4 linked regions of the Struthio camelus genome follow. The protein of the gene in region 2 purifies or fractionates together with the protein of the main gene of each other region. This does not show direct contact. Links are inferred from orthologs where the notes say so. Each region holds a gene or a part of one and is shown on either strand. Other genes may lie near its edges. The genes, in order: ARPC1A, ACTR3B, ARPC5L and ARPC2.

Evidence for each region.
Region 1: the proteins of ACTR3B (region 2) and ARPC1A purify together in Homo sapiens (affinity purification with mass spectrometry; 5 studies listed by BioGRID and IntAct, counting the BioPlex papers as one, with this or other methods). This does not show direct contact. The link is inferred for Struthio camelus from reciprocal best matches to the Homo sapiens genes ACTR3B and ARPC1A.
Region 3: the proteins of ACTR3B (region 2) and ARPC5L purify together in Homo sapiens (affinity purification with mass spectrometry; 3 studies listed by BioGRID and IntAct, counting the BioPlex papers as one, with this or other methods). This does not show direct contact. The link is inferred for Struthio camelus from reciprocal best matches to the Homo sapiens genes ACTR3B and ARPC5L.
Region 4: the proteins of ACTR3B (region 2) and ARPC2 purify together in Homo sapiens (affinity purification with mass spectrometry; 6 studies listed by BioGRID and IntAct, counting the BioPlex papers as one, with this or other methods). This does not show direct contact. The link is inferred for Struthio camelus from reciprocal best matches to the Homo sapiens genes ACTR3B and ARPC2.

What each region holds. Positions count from the first base shown.
Region 1 is NC_090956.1:4,596,081-4,603,085, reverse strand, and holds the start of ARPC1A (actin-related protein 2/3 complex subunit 1A), read left to right. Parts: upstream 1-3,987; 5' UTR 3,988-4,238; intron 4,239-7,005. UniProt on the Homo sapiens protein: Probably functions as a component of the Arp2/3 complex which is involved in regulation of actin polymerization and together with an activating nucleation-promoting factor (NPF) mediates the formation of branched actin networks.
Region 2 is NC_090943.1:8,634,660-8,642,056, reverse strand, and holds the start of ACTR3B (actin-related protein 3B), read right to left. Parts: upstream 3,008-7,397; 5' UTR 2,879-3,007; coding exon 2,835-2,878; intron 2,579-2,834; exon of another isoform or gene 2,544-2,578; intron 2,412-2,543; exon of another isoform or gene 2,208-2,411; intron 2,121-2,207; exon of another isoform or gene 2,090-2,120; intron 1-2,089. UniProt on the Homo sapiens protein: Plays a role in the organization of the actin cytoskeleton.
Region 3 is NC_090961.1:1,255,228-1,262,435, reverse strand, and holds the start of ARPC5L (actin-related protein 2/3 complex subunit 5-like protein), read right to left. Parts: upstream 3,001-7,208; 5' UTR 2,949-3,000; coding exon 2,823-2,948; coding exon of another isoform or gene 2,803-2,822; intron 1,181-2,802; coding exon 1,019-1,180; intron 200-1,018; coding exon 23-199; intron 1-22. Other genes in the region: PPP6C (serine/threonine-protein phosphatase 6 catalytic subunit), read right to left, coding at 3,713-3,961, 5,009-5,218, 5,366-5,445, 6,795-6,936. UniProt on the Homo sapiens protein: May function as component of the Arp2/3 complex which is involved in regulation of actin polymerization and together with an activating nucleation-promoting factor (NPF) mediates the formation of branched actin networks.
Region 4 is NC_090947.1:28,618,545-28,625,821, forward strand, and holds the start of ARPC2 (actin-related protein 2/3 complex subunit 2), read right to left. Parts: upstream 3,018-7,277; 5' UTR 2,835-3,017; coding exon 2,761-2,834; intron 1,450-2,760; exon of another isoform or gene 1,396-1,449; intron 1-1,395. UniProt on the Homo sapiens protein: Actin-binding component of the Arp2/3 complex, a multiprotein complex that mediates actin polymerization upon stimulation by nucleation-promoting factor (NPF).

The sequences.
Region 1 (7,005 bases), on a different chromosome or scaffold from region 2:
AAAGAGAGAGGTTTGGAACATTTTGATGGGAATTTGCCTGGACATAACAGTAATTCTGTCTTCTTCCTAGCGAGCTGATGAAAGCTAAATAAGACGCTACCGCAATACAGCTTCAGTGTCCTCTTTTTTTTTTTTTCCCCAGGGTACTGCACAGCTTACCATTTTAAAAAATTGCTAAAGTAGTGATAGAAACAAGTCTAGGATATCAAGAAGACACCTACGTGGGAAAGACCGGAAGAAAGACAACAAAATCTGCAACTATCTGCAGAGAGAAGAACTACCCGTGTGTCAGACCTGAAAGCTTGCAAATACACTTCTCGAGTATACTTAGAATGATGGAAGGCACATCTAGTATAACTTGAAAACGATCTGTGCTAACACGGATATTGCATTTTTCATGTCAAGGACAGAAATAATTCTTCTCACTGGTAGTCCTAATGCTTAGTCTTAGAAGAGCTTATTGTATGAGAAAAACTTGAAGTTGCTGCTTTGTGATGCTACCCCTTTTACGGTGTCAGAGTTGCTCACCTATAATGCTATCACATGAAAAGAGAGTCTCCTTCCCATTCCCGCTCTCCTGTTCAATGCCTTGAGCCAGCCAGTATTAACAATACCAAGGCACAATTTTTCTGTCACAATCTAAAATGGGGATAACTACTGCTGCCATTTTCTCCACTTTTCTAGTGGACATCATTTTCTGTAGGAGCTAGAGTAAAACTGCTGTCTTCCAAACCCCACTATGCTGCTGTTGGTCACCAAGCCTTGCTTGGACAACTGGAACAAATGCATTTAGGCATACAATCTTTGAAAAGCAGGCTACCAGCAGGACAGGTGTTGCCAGATGTCATACTCTTTATACTTTGCTCTAGAGGTGGTCATTTAGAGTTTGAGCCTAGGGCCTGAGCAGCAGGCTCTTACCCACTTCACTGCAGATCTTATCTGGCAGGGGGGTAAAAGCAGTCAGGAGCAAGCTCTTCCCTACCTAGAAAGCCAGTACGGAAAAAGAGACGGCACAGCAAAATTTTGGTTAAAACGCAAACAGGAAGCATTCTGCCTTCTTTCCCATTCTGTATTATGGCCATTTAACACATTCCACAAAGTTAAAACAGGAGTTGACAAATAGGACTTTGTATCAAGTAGCCAAAAAGCAGGACAGTGACATAAATTAACTTTCCCTGCTTAGAAACCCCAAATTTGAAAGTACTAAAATCAATAGTGACTTTATCTGATCTTAAGGCAATGCTCTTTAGAATTCAAGAATATTATTGATGAAAACAGATTTTGATAAAACTATTATTATCTAGATAGCTATTCTAGAGCAGCTGTCAGGAAACGCAATTAGGAAAGAAAGACATTTGCTGTCTATCCCTTTTAAACATGAGGCATGTAATGATTCTCTCTCCATGGTTAGGAGTGCTGTATTTTCAAATACTGGAGCTAACAATGCACATCTAGAACCCCTCTCACGGCAAATATTTTCATTTGCAAATATCTGTTTTTACATACAATAGCTTGCTTTGAATCCAAAAGACCTCTTTTTGACTAGCTTGTGACCCAACTGCATGCAGTCGCTATTTAAAAAAAATGCCAACAACGGCAAAGGATGTCCCAACTCTTTTTTTTTTTTTTTTTCCCCATAAAAATCTTACTGTCAGACTGTATCTAGACTATTTTTACTGAGCTCAGTTCAGCCTAGCTTGTGCGGCCTTAATAACAAAAACATTGGCATCCTTTCTGGATTAGCACAGCACAATTGCATCAGCAATACAGCAAGAACAAAGGTGGAAAACTCTCCAAAATCCTTCGCTGGAGACAAGACCGTAACATTTAATGTTTAAAAGTTCTGAGCTCCTGCAGAGGTCCTTGTTTAGTTACTTTCACCTTGTCAGGTGAAAATCATCTTGTAAACATGGAACCATACTTAGAAGTAATTTCATTCATATTATGTAATTTTACTTGGCCTAGTTGCATGTGTTTAACCTGTGCATCTGATCTAGTTTTGTTGTTAATCCAGTAAGGGCCGCAATGATTACTTATCTCAGAGTTACAGAACTGTAGTGACACCGGTTCATGAGATCATCTAGTCTAGCCTCTTATCCAAAAGCAAGATCTTATATTGCATTTATGCAATACTAACAAGTATTTTTCAAAACTATTCTCAAAAACTTCTGGTAAGAGCCCACATCTCATCAAGACAGTTCCCCATAGTGCTTAGATAGGGATTTTCAACAATTTGAGCTTCCACTGTAACCTAGATCTCCATTGTTATTATTTTAGCTTATGACTTCTTGCCCTACCCACAGTGGACATAAAAGAACAAATTGTTCCTTTCCTCAGAGCAGTAGCCTTTTATGTATTTGGAGACTTACTGCATTTTTCCCTAGTCTTCTCTTTTCTCAACAGCCTCAATAAAAGTCACAGGTTAAAAGACTCTGATCGTATTTTTCACCTCTTTCTCCAAATTATCCCTAATTTTCTTATGTGGAGACCAGGACCGGATATACTCATCTAGCAAAGATTTTATATAGCTCAGTAGAGCTGAACAATTTCTGAGTATGTCTTACTGACGATTTGCTTAATCCTCATAGCCCTGGTGTGGTGTTTGCCTTTTCTGCAACAGCGAGACATTATCGATACCTATTCGGGAAACAGTACAGCTCCTCCATCCTTTCTTGCAGAATAGCCAGCTGCCCAGTTGATCCTGTCCTGTAATTCTGAAGTTGATCATGCTAGTGTACAACTGTTAAAGAACTGCATCCTATTTTTTCATAGAGTTGCTATTCTGAATTCTAGCTCCATGACCATGTACTTATGCTGCCGTTAGACTCGATCTCATGTTCAAATGCAATAATTATAATCTCATCATTGGTGAGTAATGGGCCCAGGGTAGCTCCCAGTAGAAGCACTGATATCAAGTATATTTTTCTCAACTAGTTTTGCAACTCCCTTAGAACAGTATCATCTAGACTGGTTTCCCAGTTTATTATTAGACTATCCTATATGACATGCGCTGCTTCTCCCTTATCTGCAAGCCCTGTTACACTGCCAGAAAAGGAAACTGGACTGGTTCAACCCATTCTTGACAAAGCCATACTGGTTAACGTTCACTTTCTCATTTCCTTCCAGATGCTTATAAATTTTTTATTTTTTCCTGGGACTAGAAATTAAGCTTACTACTCTATGGCCCCCCCAGCATATCTCAGAGTCACTCATCTCTCCCTACTGCATGCCTCAAAGACAACAAAGTTTGTAAGTTTTACAGAAGCCAAATCATCAGACCCCAAATGGCAGGCAACTTCTCTAGGGAATTAAGAGTAGGGCAAAGAACTGCAACTGCATTTCTTTCTATATTCCAGCCAGATAGGAGGGAAGGTCCTAGAGCTCCTGAAGACCCAGGAAGGGACTGTTAACGCCTGCACTAAGAGGTTCTTTTTCTTTCTTTTCACCAATCCTTTGGTCTCCAAGAGGGAGGAAAGCAGGGAAGGCGTAGCACTCTGCTTTTCCAGAACCTGAAGAAGTCAAAATTATCAAGCTCACAAATCCCACTGCCTCCACCTCTCGGCTCTAGGGCTCTCCTCACACCCTGACAGGCCCACACAGCCACCCAGCAAGCCGCAGCGGCCTCGGCGCCTTCACACACCCCCAAGGCTCCAGGCCAGGAGACGCCGGGTCTCCTGCCCCCTCTAGCAGATGTAGACATGGTCTCCTTCACCTCACGAGGCTAAAAAACACCAAGACCGACAAAATCACTCTCTTAACGCTTCTCCCATACTCACTAAAATACTCCCCAAAACACCCCCCTCCTCCCCGGGGAGCAGCAGCCGCCCCCGACACCACCCACCCCCTCGCGGCGCCTGCGCGCTCCCCGCGGCGCATGCGCCCTCCTCCCCCCACCACGGCCGCCTTTGTGTGCGGCGCTCGCCCGACGCCCGTGGGGCGTGGCCCCCGTCCCGCGCAGGCGCAGAGCGACCACCCGGCTCCCTCCCCACCCTTCCCCGGCTTCCCCCGCCCCTGCAGCGCGGCGGCGGCGCAGGCGCAGCCCGCGGGGCGGGCGGCGGGCGGCGCGCAGGCGCAGAGCGCGTTTCCTGGCTCCCTTGTCAGTGCCGGGCCGCCCCCTTCCCCCCTTTCCCCCCTCCCTTTCGGCCTCCGCCGCCGGCCGCTCCCTCTGCCGCCGCTCGGAGCGGAGTCGCGTTGACTGACCAGAGTCCGCGAGTCCCGCTCCGCTCCCGCCGCCTCAGGTGAGCCCCGCGCCGCGGGTGGCTGTCCGCGGCGGCCTGCCACGCGCGGAGGGGGGCGGAGGAGGGGGGGCCTGCCGGTGCCGCGGGGATGGCGGAGGAGGAGGAGGAGGGAGATTCACCTCAGCGCGGGCCTGCCCGGGGGGGGGGAGGGGAGGGGCGCGCTCCCCCCCCCCTCCCGCCGCCGAGAAGGGGGGAGGGGGGACGCCCTTGTGGCGCCGGCGCCGCGCGTCGCCCTGAGGGGACGGGGCGCCCGGGCGGTGGATGGGGCCGCGGTAGGCGGCCGCCGGGGAGGGGGTGAGGGGCGGGGGTGGGCTCGGCGCTCGGCTCTCTCCCGGTCGAGCAGTGGTGTTGTCAGCGCGGGCAGGGCCGCCGGCAGCCATCCCGAGCCGGTCGGCTTTGTCAGGCTGATGGTGTGCCGTGCCTGCGGGGAGCGACCCCCCACGGGAGAGCAGCGCTGCGGGGACTGGGACGGGGATGACAGCGGTAGGAGGCAGCCCTTAATTATAGGCGCTTCTCTGCCAGATGTTTGCAGATGATGTCGGCGCTCTGAAAATAGGCAAGGATTAAAAAGTTATCTCTCTGTCTCTCTCCGTCTCTCAGACGTGCGCACACACGTGCTATCTCAGATTCCAAACCCCAGTCCTTGCTGGTTGCTTGGCCCGGGGTAGCCTTATACCGCACATTTTTTACCCCGTTGAGGAATGACAGCAGCTGAGTCCCGTCTTTCCCAACCACCACCCTTTCAGCCTGCATGCCCAAGAAGCTTGTGCTGTACAAGCATACAACATTTCCATTTTTTTTTTGCACTGAAACTCAAGGACAGTTACTCTGCATTTGACAAAAAAAAATTAGGGATAGCTACCCTAAGTACCTTGCTGACAAAGTTAGCTTAAGAGCACCTTTTTCCTATGTGAGATCCTGAGATTGGCTGCAGGAGGATATTAAGGTTTTTACTACCTATCAATTGTATCAAGATTCACAGAGAGAGTTGTGTTTTCTGTAGTGAAGTGTGAGTTTGATTTTGTCTGCGCGTTGATAAGGAATAAATATAGCTGGAAGATTTCATTACGATGTATCTTCCTAAAGAAAAAAAAAAACTGCAAGTTCAGACAGGAGAACTAGTAGTGCTTTTTGAGGTTATCATCATTATTGTTTTTTATAAGTTTGTTACCAAACCAAAAGAGGAAGCTGTCACTTGCTACAGGTTATGGTGCTTGAGAAACTCTATCAGTGGGCAAGGATGGATCATATCTCCTGTCTAGATACAAGTTTTTGGAACAGCCAGTGGGTTAGAAAGTAAAAATCCCTGAACTAGGTATTATTAGGATGAGACTGTGCCTTTTATACATAGTGCCAATCTGTGCAGAAAATACCAGGGCTGTATTAGAAAGTGCTTTGAAATAGCTACATTCCTTGGGGAGGGGGGAGAATTAGATGTTTTTAAATTTTTATTTCGGAAAGAGTAGAAAAAGCTGAGCATTCCTTGTTGGTAGAACAGCTCTTCAACTTTTCCTGTATATGGAAATGTACTGCTACTGCATGTTGGCAAGTACGAAAGCAAGATCGTGGAAAACGCAATTCACAGACATGTTTTGCTTACATTAACACATGGAATCTCAAATCATGGCTGTCCAAGGTCAAAGGTAACTCAGATTATGTCAACAAGCTCACATTAATTGAAAAAAATTATTTTGCTTAGCACTGCATATATTTAATAGCTTAGTTTGGTTTGCAGAATATGATTATTAGGAGAATCATGAAATTAGTGTCAGTTAAAATTAGGAATTGGACTTAAAGCTCATGTAGTTGAAAGTTATGATTGAAGTACACTTCCAATGCAATTGGGAGTCGTGTTTCTTTAAGTTTAAAACAGCAGTGCATGATTTCTTTAGAGAAGAGTCTTTTCACCCCTTTGCATTAATGAGGTGCTATGTCATCTCTACTTCAGGATTCAGCACTTTCTGTGTATTTGATATACTAGTGCTGTGATAGTAATTGCTAAACTCAGTAAGAACTTGCTCATCTTTCATTCACTCCTCAGTTTCTATTGAATTGCCATTCATTTCCTGTTTGCCTCCAAATTCCTACCTTGCCCTGAAGTCTCCACCCTCTGCTAACATGGCCATACTTGGGTATGTTGTAATTTCAGGCTATAATGGGTGTGGATGTCTTGGAATGACACCACAGAGGTTTTTCTTTTTAGATGTAGATGTAGAGGTAAAAGACTTTGATCCATCAGCCAAGAATAAATTGCTATGAAATATAGTGGAATATACAGAAGGAGGATGGAATTGGCAAATCTAAGTTGTATGTGCTGAACTATGCACATTTTAATTATTATAGGTGACCTTGAGCTGCTGTGATGTTATCTTCCATCCATTTATGCTGCCATTGATTAATGCGAGACATAGAATATGATATGAAATTTTAAACAGCTTTGCACCTCCAGTTGCAGATGTTCAGGGCCATCTCTTCTGATGTAGTTATAAGTTAAAGAAAAAACTGGGTAGCTAGTTTTTTTTTCCCCCAAAGTATTGACAAACTAGACTAATTTAGCTTGTTCTCTTAGTGTTTAAATCTCATGGGGAAGAAAACATAACTATAGAACAGTTAAGTGCATGTATTAATTTGAAGAAATTAGTAATTAATTACTGTTTTTTGTAATTTTTCCCTAGGATACATGTGAATAGTTTTATCAAATAATATGTCAGCAAATTATAGTTGTCTATGAATGTTCTGGACATGTCAATTTAATCTCCTGACATAC
Region 2 (7,397 bases):
GTAAGGCTTTGCAAAAGTAGGGATTTTTTTTTTACTAAAAGACAATGGAAGGACTCAAATAAAATATCCCACAAACAAAAGTATTCCTCAATGTCTGCAAATATACACACTAAGCAGGAGACAGGTATTTTAAGCCATCTTTGCTTAGCGCACCACCCACCTACCAGAGTTCTGATGTCCCACAGCTAATAGTCAGTTAACAAAACTAGTTTTAAAGTTTACAGCTATTTAAACAGTAACACCAGAAAAGCCTGGCTGTGCTAAGAATCTAAAAATAGCATGTCCTTTTCCATGAGAAGATTGATAGCAACATGACCACTAGAAAAACTCAAAGAAAATAAAGACATAGGGCATCAAAATCAAAGTAGAACAGGTCCCTTGCAAATACTTTCAAGGAAAATAGCAATCATTGCAAATAAACTCTTGCTGCTTTCTGCAGAATTTATCATAACCTTTATTCACACAGAAAGTTTAAGTCATCTGTCTAACAGAGGAAAGGAATACTACCCTGCCCTGCTATAACAACATGTTTCTCGCTTAAGGTCTGTACAACTGTTGTTTGTTGCTTTTCTGTTGTTGCTTTTTTGAGGAACTTCAGCATCGTACACGACCGAGGCCTATGACTGCAAACAATAATAAATTAATCCAGGCTCCTTCCGCACGTGACAACAGTGACCAAAAAAAACATCTGTTCACAAACTTCTGAAGTCCACTTATACGAAAAAAAACAGGGATTAGCGCCTGGACAAAGCACCTCATTCAGTACCAGAGACTTAAAGTAGAAAAGTGTGTTTTATACACACGATGTTCTGCAGAGCAGGTCTGCATATAGCTTTTCCTTTCAACTATGCTCTTCCAAGCTTTTCATCTGAAAGCCTTTTCATGGAGAATTTGAACAAATTGTTTGGAGCTTGTAAACCCAAAGCAGATTCATTCTAACAATAAGAAGGTTTTCAACCCACACAGGAAAATTCCAGAGACTGCACATCAGTGAGTCAAGCTACTTCTGGCTGCTTTCGTTCACAGTCTTATTTTTTTTCTCTCCAATTCTGCAAGATTACTTGTTCCAGATTTAATAAGCTCGTTGCTGAAAAGTCTCTAGATTTGAGTGCCCTGCAGGAAAGCCAAGCAGAAGTCCAAGTGAAACACCACCTTATCTCATATGAATTAAGACCATTCGGGGGCATGGAAATACAAGTCCCACCACGTGGGAGCTATCTGAACCTTTCCTGAAAGAAACTGATATACAGGCACACGTACAAACGCCATCAGTTTTTCCCATGCAAGAACGAGACAGACTTTACAAACTCTATTTCAATGATTATTTTCTCTCCACATTCGCTTATTCTGTACGACTGTTGGTCAGCAACATCTATCATGAGTATGACATTAGGATCACTCCACAAACGGAGAGCAAGAGCGGTGGGCTTCTGCAAGAGACAGCAATCACGTTTGGTGCTTTTTCTGGATTTTGTAGTTTATATCGCAGGTTTTTCAAGGGCTACGCTCAGAGCTCCCAGACTTTAAATCTGTAAAGTAACACTAATAGGTCTGTGGAGAACCTACTTAAACTATCTTCAGTAAATAAATAAAAGGAACCTTAGAAATTACCCAGGAGTATCTAGTACCTAGGCAGAACTACAGCAAGACAGACGCCCTTCTCGATTCTTCTACCACAGCTGAACACTTTGGACTCCAGTATTCTCCACTGAGGGGACAGAGCTGATTTCTATATAAACGTAGATAGAGATGAGATAGGATGAGAGACTTTTGAAAGTTTTCTGACTGTTTGAGAGAGACGTACCTCAACATATGAAATCCTTTTTCAGAAAAAGGAGGCAGTGTGACACCACAATAAACGGAAAACAAGGCACTTCCTCTTGCTATCTAGCCTTTAAAAGGGGGGGGGGGGGGGGGGGAAGGAGGCTGAGCTTTGGGAATGTTGAAGGTAACTTCCCAAGCGTTAAATAAACGACAACAGCAGAGCAAGAGCTTCCTGAAACTCCCTGCAGGAGGAAGGTGTACTCTTAACGCAATCCACAACCCCTGACAAGCAAAGTTACGTCCGGAGAGTCACTCACGGACGTACCTCTCCTCCCTTTACTCACAGCTCCACGATGCTGCTGGGCCAAAGGAAAGGGATTAGCAAGAGCACCGCTGCAGGTTCACTAACACCCCCCCTCCCCGATTTCGGCGCCCTGTGCCACCTCCGGCTCCTGAGGCACAGCGGAGCGGCCCGCTGGGCTGTCAGATGCACGGGTCTTCTCCAGCCACCGCCAGGACCTGGAAAGACCCGCTCCGCCGAGCGCGGCCCCTGCCCACCCGAGGCCTCGAGAGAAGCGAGCCGCAGTCCTCGTGCCCCGGCTCGAGGCAGCACGCCTCTCGCCCCGACCTGACGCCCAGCTCAACGCGGGGGCGCCCGCCCCGCCCGGCCGAGAGACGCCGCTGACGCGGGGCCCAAGCGCCCTGCGCTGAGGGAGGCTACGGCGAGGCGGCCCGCGGAGGCCGACGGAGACGCGCCCTGCCTCCCCCCCGGCCCGCACCACCGCCGGCTCCGCTCGCAGCTCCGTTAAAAAACGTTAAAATTAGAAGCAAGGGGAGGAAACGGGCAGGCGGGGCCACCGCACGCCGGGGACGCGCGGGCGCAGCGGCTCGGTGGAGGACGCGGGCCGGGGACACCCCCCGCCCGGCCGGGCCGCCAAGGGGCGGAGGAGCGGGAACGGGGGGCGCCGGCGGGCAGAGCCGGAGGAGGGCAGGGGGCTGAGCGAGCGCCAGCCCCCGCAGGGACGGAGCGGGGAAGGGGGGGGGGGGGGACCGGTGCTGCCCGCACTTACCCGGTGCCTCCGTCTATCACGCAGGGGGGCAGGCAGGTCGCCATGCTGGAGAGCCGGCACCGCGGGCCGCCGGCTGCCCCGGCGCGGCTCGTCCCTCACTGCCCCGGCCGCCCCGCGGACGCGGGCACCATGCAGCCGCCTGTCAGCGCCGCCCCCGGCGCGCATGCGCCGCCCCGTGACGCCGCGCCCGCCCCCTCCCGCCGGCGGCCATCTTGGGTCGGCTGCGGGAGCGCGGCGCCCGCCTGTCGCTTGTCACCTTCGTGCTGTTACGGCCTCAAAGAAGCGGGGTGGGGGGAGAGGAGCTGGCCGGCGGCCGCGCACCTCAGCGAGGTGCTGCCTGCGGTGGGGCACAGCCCCCGCGCCCCTCTCGGAAGGGCGCTCCTTCACCCCGCGCCTCTTGGCCTGCCCGCCCGTGCTGGCCCCCCGCGACGCCTTGGGGCAGGTTAAAGGTTCTTTGCAGCGAGGGTCGCCCACCCCCGAATGAACGTTACGGAGGCTGCTGCCCGGCCGAGCAGGGCTTGCCCTCGTGCTTCGCGTGCCGGCGAAGGCGAGGTTTACACCGGCGTTTAACCAGTCGATGGTGGAAACGCAGAGCTGGGTGCAGGTGGCTACACTGCAGCCCGCAAACCCTCCGGGTTGGCACTAAACCAGCCCAGAACATAGCACGTTCATACACGCTTCTCAAAGCGCTTGAAAACAGGCTGCCACAAACATCACCTGCAAAGTTGATGATACCTAATTTACATACACAAGAATGATTTCTCATAAGTGACTCAGCCACGGTCATACTGTGAGTGCGTGGTAGAGCCAGAAATAGACCCTCCAGCTGCTCAGGCCCAAGCATTAACCACAAGAGCAATTTTGTTTCCTATGAGGGTGTAGCTTTCTATCACCCTCTCCCATCTCCCAGTGGCTACACAGGCTTGGGGCTTGTGCGTGAGAAGAGCGAAAGGCATCCTCCCCATCCACGGAAAGACGGTGCCTTTGGTGTGACAGCTACAAGACTGTGCGAATGCCCTTAGGGGGTTGTTCAGCCGTTTACCACAAACTGAGCATACTCGATCAACATATTTGCTCATACCGTTCCCCTCAGAGATGCTGGAAGATGCACAAAGCATCATGGAAGCCGGCCCATTCGTTTGTTGGGAGGGCTTCCTTATCGGTATGTTGAAATAGTTACTGGAGCCTCAATGTTAGCTCAGCTCCAGTGCTAGAGATTCAAGCCTGATGGAAATCATCTGTCCCCCTCTTCAGGACAGTCAAATCAAAATGACATGGTAAAGGTATTGTTTCAGGGGCCAACGATACATCTGAGAAAAGACAGAATATGCTTTGACTTCCTTGGCCAAAATTTCCCCTTTCTCATGCTGTTGCACAATATGCTGCACTGGGCTCAGAAAATGTGTGCTCACACACTGTGGGCACATCATGGGAAAGTAGAGAGTCACAAACGTTACATTTTTTTCTCTTTTTTTTAAGAAGTCCCTAGCTGCTAGGGCTGTGGAGAAAGCCTCAACTGTAAACACAGATACTGCCATAGCTTACATGCAGTTTACACACTACAGACATTCAGTTTTCACACAGCTGCAGAGGCTTTAAACTCTGTGCCCTACCCTTCTCTTTTCAAGCTGTTTATCACCATCCCTGGGGCACAGATTACTACCACCGTAGCTCTCCCAGCTGTTTGTGTAGGTGTTCCCTAACCCACTTCAAGCAGAATCAGCTGAGAGAGTTCAAGCGGTTCAGCTAGGTGCTGGGAGCTAACTCCGTTGATTTTACCTGAAGTGGGTTAGGGAGCACTCAAACAAATTGCTCTGTTAGCAGAAGTGAGGGGAGGGGTAAAGCACAGTAACATCTTAAACTGCTCCAGCTGGATCCCGAAGAGGACATCTGTCCACAGTCTAAGTAACAAAGAGAAAACTCCATGGAGAACCTGGAACAGAACTGTGCCACAGAACTATGAGAACATAGGTGAGCTGATGAACTTACCAAGCAGCAGTGAGAAATGTGAAAACACTCGTTCACCTTGGTGATACATTAGAACTCAAGTATCTAGTGATTACTTAAATGACAATAACGGTAACTATCTAATTCCTCAGGAATTAATAAGAGAGGAAGGAGAAGATACCAGATCTATACAGCTTAAAGATGACAGATTCTTCCGATAGCATAACCATACAGCATTCAGAGCATACCATTGCTTCTGCCTCGGGCTCAGGCATTATTTGTAGTTTCATACTTTAAGATCACACAGGGACTATTACGTCCTTTTAGCCTTTTCCATAATATAGGCTACAACAGTTTGCTTAGAGTTTAAGCTATACTGAAAGGGAAATAGGAACACAGGAAGCACCAGTGATCTCATTTTGACTATCTGTATAGGCTACCATGAGTTAAACGAGTGAAGCTATGCTGCTTTATATTGGTTTGTCTACACCTCTTTTCACCACAGTATCCAAATGCCTTTGAGGAATGTGTTAAGCGATGTGGCCAATATCTGCCATTCTTTCATTTTTGTCTCAAAGGAAGAATTGTGTAGGCAGAAGAGGGTTTTTTTAATTTTGTTTTGGGGTATTTAAAGTGTTCATGCTACAGTACATTTACAATCAAGAAGGTAATCTAAAGAAGCAGAAGGTGTTGAAGTTTTGAGAGGCCTTTAATTTCTGTGAGACTTTGTTCAACAGTAGCAAAGCAGCCCTCCAGAAACTTTTAGATGATTCTTTGAATAAAGGAGTCTGCACTTAGCTATGAGAAGCCATTTATGTAAGAGGAGGCTGGTTTGGATGCATTTGCAATAGCTTTGTGTTATTAAGATGAGCTGCACGTTTTGTTCTAGATCATGCATCTTAAAAGCTGATAGTGTCATGCTCAGATATATCACGTTGCTATTTCAGAGAAAGGGTAACGGAAACCTAGCTTCAGTTGCATATGTAGTCTGCCAGGAGGAGACATGGGTTCCCAAACAAAACGCATGCAAAAGCTTAGCAGCAGCTCAGAGTCCAGGGACACCACCACGTTAATTAGCAAGTTAACTAATTGTGTTTGCCTACCCTCAAGTAAATGAGACTACAAAAAGGTTTTCTTTGCTTACATAACCTCTCCCCTGCTTGAGATCAGCTTCAGTCAGCTTTTCTTCATTGATGAGCTGATCTCTAAGAGCACTAGGCTAGCTTAGCGGTAGCGATAAGACCTAAGAGCTGGTGAAGAACTATACTGCTGGCACTTAACGTTCACATTGCCCGAACAGCTTACCTGTACACCGTATGTTCATGCTGAGTTCTAGCGAAGCAGCTAGTTGAGAAGGTATATTCTTCCATCACTGCTTACTTAATACAAACCTTCACAGAGGACTCAAGAACATTCTCCTGCACCTCTGCCTCCTCTCCGAGAGGTCAGCAGCATCTTGAATCAAGTAATATGAGTGTGAAAAAGCACGATCATACGCCCCTGACATTTCAGTCCTATCCAAGTATCATCCCCCATCCAAAATAATCTCAGCTACGTGTTTTTAAAAAGCTACTTTCAAGTCCAAAACTTCCATCTCTAGATAAATGGCTAGCCATCGCTGTTCTTTTAAACTTTGATTTTTAGCAAGCAGTGGAGGACTGTTATCAGATCATATTCAGTGAATTACCTTTGAGTTAGATAAACTACACCCTCTAATTTTGTTCATCTGACCAGCCAAAACCATGCTTACATACTGGTCACAAATATCTGATTGCAGTCTCAATTTGTTTTCCTACTAGCAAAAAATGATGATAACATCAGAAAGACTCAATTCAGAAGTTCAAAAGTAGCGGCACAAAAGACAGATCTTTAATCCTGGATCATTTCAAACATAAGGCTAGTTTAATGGCAGCTGCTAAGCAGCTGTCGTCATACAATTACTAGGAAAGGTCACCAAGTAATGGTGTTCACACACTAGAAATCACAGAGTGGAAAGTATGTGGAGATGGAGAAGCTAAATGGCTGGAGAAGCTGAGCTTTCCCCCCCTGAATGGCTGCAGACCCACACATACACATATACACACACACACACACACACACACACAAAAGGAGCAACACAGCGCAAACTATCCATCCAAATTGTATCTGCAGACCACACATTAACCTATTGTATATTCTTTTTATCTACATAGACCTCTGTACAGCTATTTCTAAGACCACTCATGAGCAAGGTACTTAAGTCCATCTGTAATTTAAAGTGTGTTAATAGTCCCACTGAAAACAATACAATTATTCACGTCCCTAAGGCTATAAGCCATTTAAATAACTCTGCAAACTGGGGCTTAAAACAAGCTTTAATTCGTACCGAACAGTAGACCTTAATATATTCTGGCAGAAAACTGCAAGCTGCTTGTGCAAACAGAATAAAAAGTGCTTGCTGTCTTTAAATTATATTGGAGTCTTATGTTATGCAACAAGTTAAAGAGGGTCAGTGGTTTGTTTGTTGGGGTGGGGGGAAGGAGGAAGACTTATATGTCTTTTGTAGAACCGGTGACTTACTTTTTAGTGTCTTTCCTAGTTCTATATTCCATTGTTCCAGATCCTTTATTTGTTTCA
Region 3 (7,208 bases), on a different chromosome or scaffold from region 2:
GACAGCACCAGAAGAAACTTACCTTTTCATGCCATTGAAGTAATATTGCACTGCTATTTTCTGTTGGCTTTTCAAATCCTTTATAAATGTACTTCATTAACAAGTCAATGCCATTTCTGTCTAAGGAGTTCACTGCTTGTTCTATTTCACTGCTTTTAAAAGATGTGAGGACTTTAAGCATGGTTCCCTGGGCCTGTTCCTGCAAAGACCACAAAAACAAAAAAACAAAAAAACAAAAAACCATTAGAGCCAGCAAAGCTGGAACTGTATCAAAGACCTGTGTTTGACAAAAGTATGCTCAGAAGACCACTACATTAAAAAGTTGGTCTATTTATTTGTTGTAACCAAGCAGGTTAACATTTTGCACTTTAAGTTTTAGTAGCGAGAAGGGTGGGTACATCTTTTTAAAAGTGGATTTTTTTCATGCTTCTTTCTCGGAAGGGCTAACTGAAAGGGATTGCAGAATCATCTGCTGAGCTGTAACAAATTCAACAGTGCAAGGCCAAATTCCTTGTTTTAAAAGCATATTGCAAAATCCACATGCAAACACTGCTTCAGGTATGTGCTCACTAACTCCATCAATTGCTTTTCTGAGTAAGGAAACTTTGGTTTATCCCAAGAACATCATCCTCTTCTTTACAAGCATCAGCTGCTCCAGTGTCCCTCCTGTGGCAGTTAGAGCTGGGCAGAAGAGCAGCACAGACCTGCGTTCATTTACGAGTCTGCTGTCGCAGGCTAGCTAACAGGCCATTTGCATCGAAAAGCAGCAGCATTATTGCTCAAGAGCCTGCCTATGGATGGTGCAGCTGAACACAAAGCGATTGCCTGTGTAGAAAATACAGCGTATTGCTGTAGTCTATCACTAATTAACAGCACTAAGGTATTAATCAGATTTCTGGAGAAATGCTGAACCATTTGGAAGTGCCCCCACGATCCGCTGCTGAAATCTAGGGGTGGGTGCGTGCCTGCTGCGAGGCAGTGACAGAGCCGCTTCAGGAAGCGCAGAGGTGCCGCTTACCTTCATCGCCTGGTTCTTGGTGTTAACAGGAGAATTCCTTATGGCTGTGTGGAAAGCTCGGAGCGTATCGCCTGTGCAGCACAGCAAGTCAAGGACTCGAGCCGGTCGGTTATTGGCACCATCATAACTCACTCCAACCCAACCGACAATCTTGTATACAAACTTTGAATACCATAACAGATGATAAATGATGTGTTTTATAAGAACGATTTCTGGACACCAGGTAACAGCCCGATGTGCCACAGAAGGAGACCAAGAGCACAGGGAAGCAGTCCGCAGCTACAGCTAAGTCGCGCGATAAGCCCTGCCGCAAATACTTTGTTACCGGGGTGCAGCGGGGCGGCGCGGGCAAGGCGCAGCTCCTCGGGAGCTCCGGCTCGCCCTCGCCGGGAACCCCGCCTGCACCAGGGGCGCCTGCCTGCACCACGGGTGCCCCACCTGCACCGGGAGCACCCGCTTACACTGGGGGCGCCTGCCTGGACTGGGGCACCCACCTGCACCAGGGGGCCCTGCCTGCACCGGGGGTGCCCCACCTGGACCGGGGGTGCCCCACCTGGACCGGGGGCGCCCACTTGCACTGGGGGCACCTGCCTGGACTGGGGCACCTACCTGCACCGGGGGGCACCCCCCCCACCTGCACCAGGGTGCCTGCAAGCACCGGGGGTGCCCCACCTGGACCGGGGGCACCCACTTGCACTGGAGGTGCCTGCCTGGACCGGGGGCACCCCCCCACCTGGACCGGGGGTACCTGCCTGCACCGGGGGTGCCCCACCTGGACTGGGGGCACGCACTTGCACTGGGGGCACCTGCCTGGACTGGGGCACCTCCCTGCACCGGGGGGCACCCCCCCACCTGCACCAGGGTGCCTGCAAGCACCGGGGGTGCCCCACCTGGACCGGGGGCACCCACTTGCACTGGGGGTGCCTGCCTGGACTGGGGCACCTACCTGCACCGGGGGCACCCCCCGCCTGCACCAGGCCACCTACCTGGACCGGGGGCACCCACTTGCACTGGGGGCACCTGCCTGGACTGGGGCACCTACCTGCACCGGGGGGCACCCCCCCACCTGCACCAGGGTGCCTGCAAGCACCGGGGGTGCCCCACCTGGACCGGGGGCACCCACTTGCACTGGGGGTGCCTGCCTGGACTGGGGCACCTACCTGCACCGGGGGCGCCCCCCGCCTGCACCAGGCCACCTACCTGGACCGGGGGCACCCACTTGCACTGGGGGCACCTGCCTGGACTGGGGCACCTACCTGCACCGGGGGGCACCCCCCCACCTGCACCAGGGTGCCTGCCTGCACCGGGGGTGCCCCACCTGGACCGGGGGCACCCACTTGCACTGGGGGCACCTGCCTGGACTGGGGCACTTGCCTGCAGCGGGGGACACCCCCCCACCTGCACCGGGGTACCTGCCTGCACCGGGGGTGCCCCACCTGGACCGGGGGCACCCACTTGCACCGGGGGCACCTGCCTGGACTGGGGCACCTACCTGCACCGGGGGACACCCCCCCACCTGCACCAGGGTGCCTGCCTGCACCGGGGGTGCCCCACCTGGACCGGGGGCACCCACTTGCACTGGGGGCACCTGCCTGGACTGGGGCACTTGCCTGCAGCGGGGGCAGCCCGCCTGCACCGGGGGCACCCGCCTGCACCGGGGCAGCCCGCCTGCAGCGGGGGCAGCCGCCCGGCCCGGGGCACCCGCCTGCACCGGGGCAGCCCGCTCTGCTCTGCCCCGCCCCGCCGGCCAGGGCCGCCGCCCGCTCGGGGCCCCGCAAGGATATTGCCGCAGCAGCGCCTCCACCTCGGGGCCCGCGTCGGGCTCGGCCGCCGCCGCCGCCGCCTCCTCGGGCTCCTCCACGAAGCGGTTCTCGTCGTAGGCGTCGATGTCGAGGCGGCGGAAGCGGGACGAGAGCGTGCTGCGCGCCATGCCGCCCCGCCGGAACCGGAACCGGAACCCCAACCCGCTCCCGCCGGAACCGGAACCGCGGCCCGGGCCCGCCCGCCGCCCCCTCTCGGCCACAACGCGGGGCTTGTATCGGCACTATTTAACCTAGAGGTGGATTTCATTTAAGATACGACTTTATTAAAAATACAAGGTATCTGAAAAAAATCAGAACAATTATTTTAATGTACAAATTCCATCGCTGTAGCAGATCTTGGTGTATTTTTAACCGAAGTCTTAAAAAAAAAAAAAAGGGGGGGTGGGGGGCAGCCCTTTCGACCACTTTATTTTGTATCCACTTAAAACAAGATATAGCAAGGACGATTCAGTTCTACGTCTCGGACGTGCACACAACACAACGCGTTTGCAGCCCCATCGTGCACACTGGATAGTAACTTTGCTGCTGAAATTTCTTAAAACTTACGAAACAAAAAGCTGAGTAATGCAACAGGACTGACCTGGTTCCAATGTATTATGATTTTAAAAGGAAAACGTTTCATCTAAACCCAGAAGTACGTAAGAACTACATGCAGTAGTATAAATGTCAAGGACATATTACAAATATTCTGAAATGAATCTAGGGTAGGAAAAAGGAACTTGCTACAGACACCATAATACACAATAAATTTAGATAATTTAAACATAAAAAAAGGCAAGAGGCAGCATTTCAGCAGCAAAGTGCTCAATAAAAAGTATATTGTAAAGGGATAGTTACAAGGGAGCAGGGAAATGGCAGGCTGGGGAAGGTCTCAAAGGAAATAGGGTGTAGTTGTTCTAGGAGGAATTACACGTTCTGAATCTGGAACTGCACGGAATAGCTTTGGTTCTCTTGTATTTACATCTTTAAAGACCATGATTGACGCAATATTTCCACAACGGTAGCAGTAATTTGGTGCAGACCATACCGTTACCAATTTCTCATCAAACATGAATTTATAGCCTTCGTGCACTAGCTGATGTGCTCTGCAGATGAGTTTTAAGTTGTTGATATGAACAAACTGTAATTTAAAGGAGGGGGAAAAAAAAAAAAAAGGCGTGTAAATATTCTCTGTGAAGAGCTGCACATCATCACCCACACAACAGCCTTCCCCATTTAGAACACCCTCCCGAGACCCCGTATCGCAGCTGGTCAACAGGTTTGCTCCCAAACCTGCCCCAAAAGCTTTCTGCCAGAATCCTGCCAGGTTTCAGCTGCACAGAAGATACTTCAAGGCTCCCGCTTCAACATCTCTGAGAGGAACCAAACTGAAGTAGCCCCTTGTTTTCACAGAAGCGCGGCCAGTCACGTTGACCTAGCCACATCACTGTCATCTAAATGTGTTATTAAAGCTAATGGTGCCATGAAGGGACCCGTCTTTTCAAAACATACTGAAAAACACCCAGTCGCCGATGAGATGGCTAAGCCTGCGTTGTGTCCACAACGTTCACACTTTCCTGAACATGCTGCAGTAAGACCACAAAGGACAACGAATACCCTGAATCAGGCTTTCCTAACGCAGCTCGTTCAGAAGCCTCAGAAGGTCAACAAATTTTAGCCTAGGGAAGTCTGCTTACTGTTTCGCTAAAAGTAACAAAAATTAAGTCAGGAATTTTTAGGAAAAAAATGTTCCAGTGGTGTTTTTTCTCCTAAATCTCTAGGGAGGTATTTCTGCACAAAGCCTAATAAAATTAGTTAGTCTCAGAGAAGGGTTGAGTTTGGAAGGGACCTTTAAAGATCATGCAAGTCCAACCCCCCCCACTCACTGCATTCTACTTTTAAAACGCAAGATCAGTATCATCTCATCTGGCAGGGTTTTGTTTTGTTTTGTTTTTTTAAAGTTCAAACGGCTCAATTTTTTCGAGTTGGTTTGAATTAGCAACAATAAAGCAAAAGCACCTTCTTCATCAGCACACAGCTTACTCAGAGCTATCTTAGCAGGAAAGTTAGTCATCTCACACAGTCCTCAATCTGTTAAGCACTAGGATAAACACCAAACTTGTAGTTAAACGTCTTAATTTATCTCATAACTACAATTACTTTATGCTGCGTGCAATAGCATCATTACCTCATTTGTCACCTTTGCACCAAACAGCCAGCCTGCTCCCCGTGGACTAATCGCCCAAGTATCTACATCTTCCGGATCAGACCAGACAAGGTCACAAAAGGCTCCTTTATGCGGAATTTCTTGATTACGTTCAATGGTTCGAATTTGATCGAGTGTCTTGATGTCTGGAGACAGGCCACCATGCACACAGAGAATCTGCTCATCTATTAACTGGAGAAAAAAGGCACGCGTGTCAAACGCACAGCACTTCAATCCAACTCAGAACTCTACCAGCGTGACCCTTAAAGGCCGCTAATTCAAGAGGTCACATTTAGACAATCTACTTAGATTCTTTTTAAATATAGCGTTTACACTTACAGCTGCTATTGTGAGCATGTCAAAGACTTTGGTACAGTATCTCCAAGCATTAGCATTTCCATATTTGGTTTGGCACTCATCTGTTAAATAGAGAATTTTTTTCTTCTTAATGGATCAGAAGAAATTCAAATAATAAGAACAGAGGCAAATACTTACAGCAGAACTTGAAAAGTCAAGTGTGTAATAAAAAGCATTATCAGGAGCACCAGTAAATGCTCAGCGGGAAGCTGTCTGTCTTATTGTCACCTAGGTCCACTAGTAGGAAGCACACTCAGATAGCTAACATTCTTCACTCCCTTGAGCAATACAGGGGGTGCTGGAGCGAAAACAGGATCTCACACAACACGACTTATGATGTTTTCTCTGCTCCCTGCAAGTAGCTGGCTGGGACATTCCAGACCAGCTGAATGTTTGTATTACAGAATTTTACACTGGAGATTTAAGGCAAAAATTGTGAAACTATCTGGGCTACTTAGTTTTCCTGACTACAAATAAGACTTACAGTAGCTTTGCTTAGTTAGAAAGCAAAACAAGACCAAATTATTCCCATTTCTCATAAAACCAGAAAGAAATCAAAAAAAAAAAAGTAATTTGGCAATGGTAAATTAATGCCACATTCGTGTAGCTATAAACTGGATGTAAGCAATTCTGGACTGTATAGCCCTGGCAGAAAAGTATTTCTTTGGAGCCTTAAGCCATTTGTCAACACTTCTATTTGTTCTTGTTGCCACATTATCCCAGAAAATGCATATTACAGTCTACATGTTCCCTGTGGCAGGTGTTAGTTATTCTGCCGAATTTCCTCAGGTGTTATCAGGTTTATTTTGCAGGATTTCCTCACACAACTAAAACTTTCCAAGCAATTTAATGGTGTTGGTTTTTGGAACAGTCGCCCTACTGCTTCTTTCTAGTCAGTGGCATTTTCCCCCATGCCTGTTGCTGACAATAAATAGCTTCCATAGCAAACTCTACACATTGTGTTGTTTCTCAGCTATAGCGAAGCCCAAAAGGAATTACAGCAACATTACGATTTCTCCTGGAACTTTTCATTAAAAGATATGAAAGCACTTTCTGTACAAATATATTATCTTTCTCTGTCTCTAAAAATCAAATAGGGTACTAAAACCAAACAAGAACATACAGGTGCTGGAGGGAAAAAAAGCAAGCTAGAACTTTGTCAGATTAGGTTTTGACTTTAGGCACAAGAAGTCCAACAGCGAACCACTGGACTAAAACATGCTCCGCTTCATGAATGCAAGGATCACGTTAACAAATTATAACATTCCAGTTTTACTATGCCCGTTTCCCACCTGGTTCTAGGAGAGCCACAAGTAGTGCTGCATTCAAAAATCAGATGTCCAAGGGGAAAGATAAGGTAGTTGTTTATTACATTAGCCATCATTCAGAAATCATTTGGATAAAGACTTACCATAAAATCCATACACTTGAGTTATCTGCCTGCTTTCATGATTGCCTCGTAACAGTGTGATACGATCAGGCCATTTAGCTTTTAGTGCAAGAAGGTAAGTGAAAGTCTCAAGACTATAATAACCTCTATCTACAAAGTCACCCTGCAAGTCAAAGAAAATTCATAAATGGAGAAACAGTCACATTCAAAAGCAAAGCGATAGATCCATTCTTAATTTCTCAGTGCATAAGGAAATCTAACGCTGAAAGAAAGCCTGGCATCCACGCTCTACGAAAACAAGTTCTTTGGTTGTTTGGAGTTTTAAGTCATTACGTGCATCTAAAGCTACCCTGACGCGTAACCGGACAGACGCTCAGACTGTTGACTACAACACCAAGTACAACTTTCTGTTTGACGCGCGTTACGCTCTTCTCT
Region 4 (7,277 bases), on a different chromosome or scaffold from region 2:
AACTGTGGCTGGAGGGAGAAGACATCTCACATGAATAAATATTGAGCAACACTCACTTGCTAGAAGACTTACAACCTGCAGAAAAAAAAAATACACCTCTCCGCATGTCTCAGACCTTTATTTCCACCCTGTGCTTGCCTGGACAGGAGGGCCTCAGCACAAGCACAAAAGAAAACGCAGAAGTAAATAACTTCCTCCCCTTCAGCAATGCACCCAAGGCACAAAAATTATACAGAAACAACATCTAGTTTGTTGTTTTTCTAAACAAAGGAACAATCTGTAAATGAGGAAAACATAGAACATCATCAGCCACACTAACAGCAACCAAGAATCAGTCCAGGAACAATTGGTATGCCAGGCAAGTGTGGTGATGCAGAAGTGAGGCTTTGCTGTACAGCAAAATGGAAACTTTGCAGGGCTGCAAACCGTTGCAGAATGAGTAACCCCAGTTCTAGTTGCACGAAGCCAGGATTTCGAGGTGCACACAACCTTTTGATGGCTGCAAACTGCCACCTCCACTGCAATTGCTGCATTTTAGATCAACCTAAGGACACAGGCACATTCTCTTGCTCCAACAGGAAGAGTGCCTTAGTATGAACATGCAATGAATGAGCGTTTTTGACACACACTATTAACCTCCGCATACATAATATTTTCTAATGGACGCAGCTGCAGTACCGTAGCAGAGTCACCTGGGAGTTCTCTCTTCCCACTGTGGTGCCTGTGCTTTGGAGAAACTTGTTGCATTAAATGAGCACGCTCAGGAAGAACAAAAAGCCTCACTGCAGAGAGGCAAGCAGCTCACCAATCCTACAAAGCAGTGCAGTCTGTGAGGCTATCTTATGAACAAAAAAAAAAAAAAAAAAGCAAGAACCAACACAGAAGTCAGCTGAGAGGGGAAACCAGAGGAAACGGCCTCTATCAAAGTTCTGAACCCAGAAGGCAGAAGAGCTTCAAAAGCAACTTAAGGGAAAAGTGAAACAGAAAAAGGCACCTGCCTGGGGGGGTGGGGGGGTCTCTTCCCAGGCAGCTTGGTCTGTGCTCTTTGAACACAGGCTCCACCCCAGAGATAACACTACTGCATTTTGCTTTTCCAGGCTTTGTCTACATACAAAGGTGCCCAGTGTTACTCACACCGGCGCTGTGGCGCTCAGCACAGCGAGAGCACGGGTAGCTTGCCTAGAGATAAGGACGTTTATACCAAGTGACTGTCTTCCACAGCTAAATTGTGCTCAGATAAGCACCTTTACAGCCTCTGCACTGAAGCTAGTGTGTCACTCTCAGTAAAACAGCCACTGGCTCCACAGGGACTAAACTGTCCCAGCCTGAGATGCAGGCGCAAACCAGGCTCCCCCTCCCTCCCCCCCACCCCACCCCCTGGGCCAGGACACTCACTAGGCCTAAACTGGACTTGCTCTGATGCAGGTTGCTTTATCAGAAGTAAATTTGAAATCCTATAAGAAACATCTCTGTAAACGCACCTCCTCCCCAGCAGCAGCTCTGTCTTGAACTGCTCCAACCCTTGTCCCACAGTCCCACCCCTTCCTTTTCCCCTCATCCCTGCTCCCCACCTTCGCCTCCTATCCCAGTCCCCATGTCCTCCTTTTTGTCTCTCTCTTCTCCCCCCTCAGACCTTGCACCATCACCATTCATCCTACTGGCCCGAGCCCTGTAAGGCAGCCAACTCCTCTTCTTCTCAGCCGTATCTCACCTTCTTCCTTTTCAGTAACTCAGTCTTTACAACCAGCTCCTCTTCCTGCAGCCCAATATCCTCATCCCTCATGTCCTCAGCCCAGCTGTCACCTTCACAGGGCCCCCTCCCTCAGTTTTGCTCCCCTAGCCCAGTCCAACCCCCCCCAGCCTGCCCTAACACTACCCCCCTCAGCTCTCCCTCCTTGAGCTCTGTACCCTCTCCAGCCCCTTCCTCTTCTACCAGGCCTCCACACTGCCCTGGCACCACCATCACCACTCAGGCTGGCTCTCTCTTCTAGTTCTGCCGGCCTAGCTTTGCCTCCTCATCCTCTAGGCCTTCACTCTACCCTAGCTCTAATTAACTCTTACTTCCTCCACTTCAGTTCTGTTCCCCCAGCCCAGATCCCAGATCACCCGCTCGCAGCTCCACCCCCTCCCCCAGACCAGCCTCACCACCCTGCAGGCATCTATCTTACTCTAGTACTAATGCCCCCCCCCCCACCTAGCCCTTTCCTACAGCTCCCCTTCCAGTCCCCGTCATCCCGCAGGCCCCCATCCTGCCCCAGTACCAGCCCTCCCAGACCAGCCCCCGTCATCCCGCAGGCCCCCAACCTGCCCCGGTACCAGCCCTCCCAGACCAGCCCCCGTCATCCCGCAGGCCCCCATCCTGCCCCGGTACCAGCCCTCCCAGACCAGCCCCCGTCATCCCGCAGGCCCCCAACCTGCCCCGGTACCAGCCCTCCCAGACCGGCCCCCGTCATCCCGCAGGCCCCCATCCTGCCCCGGTACCAGCCCTCCCAGACCGGCCCCCGTCATCCCGCAGGCCCCCATCCTGCCCCGGTACCATCCCAGCTCCGTCACCGCCCCGTCGCCCCGGTACCAGCCCTCCCAGACCAGCTCCGTCACCCCCCGCCCGGCCCTGGCACCAATCCTCCCAGCCCGTCATCCCGCAGGCCCCGCCACAGCTCTGCCCCCCCCAGCCCCCGCCGCCCCTGTCTCTGTCCCCGCCCCAGGCAGGCCCGGCCCGGCCCGGCCCCATTCACCGGACCGGCCCCCCCCCGGCCCTACCCGGCGGCGGCGCCCTCGAACTTGAGCGTGAGGGTCTCCTCGATGATGCGGTTGTTGACCTCGAGCAGGATCATGTCGGTGCCGGGGGGAGGGGAGCGGCCTCTCAGGGCGCCGAGGCCGGAGGGAGCCGAGCCCGCTGCGCGCACCGGGGACCCGCCCGAGCCTGCGCCGCCGCTTCCGCTCTCGGGCGCGCGCGTCACTTCCGGCCCGGCCGCGGCGGAGCCGGGCGGCGGCGGCGCCTGCGCGCGAGCTCCCCGCGCCCCGCCCCGCCCCTCCTGCCGCGTGACGTCACGGCCCGCCGGCCCCGCCCACGGGAGCGCAGGGGGCGGGGCTGCCTCGGGGAAGGGAGGGGCGTGGGGAGCCCCCAAAGTGTGGGAGGCCCGGAGGGGTCCCCAAAAGCGTGGGGGTGGCCCCACGGCTCAGGGAGGCCCCCGGGGATAGGAGTGGCCCGGGGATGGCGGTCCCCAAATGTCTGGGGCTGCCTCCAGGGAAGTGGGGTGCTCCCAAAGTGTGGGGGGTCCTGGGGGGACCCAAAAGTATTGAGGAGCTCCAGGGCGCAGAGGGGCCCCAAGGGATGGAGGTGGCCCTGGGAGGGCAGTCCCCAAGTGTCTGGGGGTGGCCCAGGAAAGTGGGGTGCCTCCAAAATGTGGGGGTTCCCCAGGGGGCAGGGGTGCCTCAGAAGGGTGTGGGGTGCCCAAAAGTATGGGGTGCCCCCAGGACATAGGGGTGCCTCCGGGGAATGTGGGGGTGCCCCAGGGTTATGGGATCCTCCAAATTTTGGGGGCATCCCCAGGGATCAGGGTTGCCCAAAAAGAGTGGGTGAACCCCGGGGGGGTCCCCAAAAGCATGAGGTGCCCCCAGGGCATTCGAGCATCCTGAGGGAGCGTGGGGGCACCCCTGGGTCCCCCAAAGTGTGGGGTGCCCCTGGGAACGGGGTGCCCAGGGGGCATGGGGGTGCCCCAGGCAGCTGTGGGGCACTGGGGGTGCCACCAGGGTTTGGGAGCCCCTCAAGGGGGATGGGGGCGTGAGTGCCCCTCGCCGCCCACCTCGGCACTTTCTCCTGCGGGAGGGGGTCGGGGCGGGGGGCTGTGTCACCCCAAAGGGTCACCCCGAAACGCAGCCGCTTCCGGGCAGCAGCAGGGCACCTCCTCGCGGCGCGGCTCGGCTCGGCAGGGAGCTGCGGCGGGAGGGACGCTGGGGGGGGGGGCTGCGGGGTTCGGGGTCCCAGCGACCCAGCAAGGACAAAGTGGCCTGGCGGTGCCCTGCGGTGCCCCCAAGCCCCGGGGCCGGCGACGGCTCTGCCAGGCTTTGCAGGGGGCTCAGCCCGGCGCCCTGACGCCCAGCTGGGGTGGCAGGTTTGGGGGCTGGAGCCCGGCTGCGGGGCAGCGGCTGGCCCTGGGGTCGCAGGCGGGCAGCTGGTGGGTGCTGACAGGTCCCAGGTCAAGGTAGGTCCCGCGGAGCGAAGCGGCTGCAGAGAGCCGGGGAAAGGGCTTGGCGCCTGCCCCCGGCCGGCCGCAGCCCCGGGGGGGGGCCGTGTCTGTCCCGTCCCGTCAGCTGGGGGGTGGGTTTCTGCCGGGCTCTGGTGAAATGCTGCGGTTGGGGAAATCTCGACCTGGGCTGTGCTGCCTGCGGTTGGCTCTCTTCCTCCTGGCGGGTGTCCCTGCTCCTGCGGTGTCCTGTCAGCACGGCGGGGTGGGGGGGGAACTCTTCACTCTATCAATGGGGAAACTGAGGCACAGAGCCACATCCTCCTTTTGGCTCACTGACCGGGCCAAATGCTTGCCATGGGGCAGGTGGAGCCTTCGAGGGGCCCTGTGGTCTTGCAGGAAGGCTGTGGCACCCAGGAGGCCCCACATGGAAACCTTGTCCACTCTCTGTGGTGGGCCTATGGGAGCTGGTGGCACCCCCAGGCCGGAGCCGGTGCCTTGGGCCCACGGTGCCAGCACCCACAGGGGAACCACTGCAGGTCAGACGTGATTCCCCTCCAGATGCGGCCACGTGTGATCCACTGCCGGGCGGCTGAGGACGCTGCGGTCCCCAAAGGGCCACCCGCCATGGGCCAGGAGGGCAACGAGAATCTGCTGAACATCCCCCGTCCAAGGGAAGGCGGTCCAGGGAGTTGGGAAAGGGTCACTTCTGGCTGCCACTTCCGCTTCAGGCTGGGCAATGGTTTTGCAACCTCGCTTCCTGCCTGAGTGACATAAAGCAGCCAGAAGAGGAGAGGCACGGGTGGACAGCGCAGGTGAGGGACCTTCTGGCTCTCCTGGTGGGTGCCGAGGAGCTGGAGCGCAGCAAGCCCCCACGGGCCTCGCGTGCCCCCAGCGCTCTGCGCTTCCGCCGAACTCCTCTCTGCAGCCGTTTGGGGGTTTCGTTCGGATTCGCCCCCACCTCAGCCTGCAGCGGAGAGTGAGACCAAGGAGAGGAAGGACTGGCAAAATCCCTGGGGAGCTTCCCGACAAGAACTGGACTGGGAAGGGCAAAAGACTCTAGACTTGGGGGAAGCAGCTAAGGAAGAGACTGGTAAGTCTGCAGGATGCTCAGCTAGAGCCTGAGGTTTTCCTTCGGCTTTGCCAGCCCTGGAGCTCCACGGCTAAGTTTCTGCCTGCCCCCGTGTTTGGAGCAGGGCAGGCAGGGGTGGGGGCACCCACTGTGCCGGGGTGGTCTCCTGCGTCTGACTGGTCCCTGAGAGCTGGGTCGTCTTGCACAGGGGTAGCTGGATACGGTGGGGAAGGAGCTGGCATTGAGGGCGAGCCTGGGGGTCTGTGCCTGGGGCTGATCTCAGCTGGCTCCTCGATGGGGGCAAATCCTTCCCTTCTTTGAGGCTGGGGAGTGCGGGTGCTGCAGGCGAAAGCACCTGCTCCCATTTCCTTTGCATGTGGCGGTGGGCTGGGAGGACATTTCCCCATGCTCCGTCCCTCCTTCCTCCCGCAAAGGGACTTGCTGGGCCAGCTGGTTCACAGGGAGGACTTCCATGGCGGAGGGTTTGGGGAGGAAACTGGGTGCTTCTTGTTCTCCCGAGCTGCCCTGGGCTGGGCTGGGAGCCTGATACCCACGGAGGGGGGTAGAGTAGGGTGAGGAAAATCTGGTCGCCGGAAGAACCGCAGGGATTTTGAGAGGGGAGTCAAAACAAGAAGCCAAAAATACCCCAAGGGGAAGCGTGTCTCTTCTACCCTGAGCACAAGTGTCTGGCTCTGCTCAGTGCCCATGGAGGCTGAGGAGCCTGCAGCAGCCCTGCCTTGGGGACCTTCCCTTTTGGTGCCAGCAATGCCCCAGGCTGCGGCCCACCAGGGAGATGGAGAGAGATCTCCATAGGAGCAGAGCTGGCAGAGCCCGGGGAGGGTTTGTCACTCCATGGGCACTGGTGGGAGCCTGGCTGAGCACTGGTCCAGCTCTGGGCTTCCAGTGCAGAAGAGATTGTGACAAACTGGAGCTGGTCCAGCCACAGGGGTTGGAGCATAGGATGTAAGAGGGAAGATGGAAGGAGCTGGGTATGTCTAGCTGGCAGAAGACAGGGCGAAAGGGGGATCTAATCGCTGTCTTCAGCTGTTTGATGGGGGCTATAGAGAAGACAGAGCCAAGCTCCTGGCAGAGAGGCCCAGCAAAAGGGCAAAGGCACCAGCAGAAGCTGCAGCGGGGAAATCCCCACTGGGCAGAAGGGGAAAGTTGTTCCCAGGGAGAGTGGCTGTGTTCAAACCAGGCCAGCTCAGGGCCCGAGCCAGGGCTCCCAGCTCTGTGGGGCCTCAGCAGCCCCCAAGCAGGTCTGGCAACTCCAAGTACAGATGGGGAGAGGGGGCCAAGAAATGGAAACTGGAGTGAAAAGGAAGCTTCAATCCACAATGGGAGAAAGATGAAACCTTATAGTCTTCAGGGAGGTGGGGATGATGTGCACAGGCCATGTCCTAAATGCCAAAAGACGCAAAAAACCAACTGTCACCTGTGATTTCCCCACTATGGCAGAGCTAAAGGGTGGCAAGTGCTGAGCAGAGGAACAGGAAAACCAGAGATGTGCAATGTTTCCAAAGCCACCTGCAAAGGGCAACATGTTCTTCCATCCCAGGGGTGAAACTTGTCACACAGGGAGAGGACCTGGGGGGAGAAGAAAGGCATGAAATCACCTTCAGACCTTCCAAATTCCACTCCTTCCCTAACACCATGGCTGCAGCATCACTGCTGTGCAGGATGGCAGGAGGGGCAGAGTCAGTGGAGAGATCCTTGAGGGGCTGGGGATGCTGGAGGGATCCAGAGGTACTTGAAGGATGCAGAAATGCCCAAAGAGCTCAGAGGTGCTTGAAGGACCAACACATACCAGAGGGATCCAGGGATGCTCAAGGGCCAAGGTGTCTTCTGGAGGGGACTGAACTCGAGTAGAGGTGCTGCGTTGATGGGAAGCCCCCACCCCAAGATGAGAGGGTCGATCAGAGATGGGGACCCGGGAAGATACATGTGCTAATCAAGGAAACCCTTCTTTTATGGGAGGGGAGAATGAAGGGGGACAGGGAAGAGACAGGGTTGGGGTG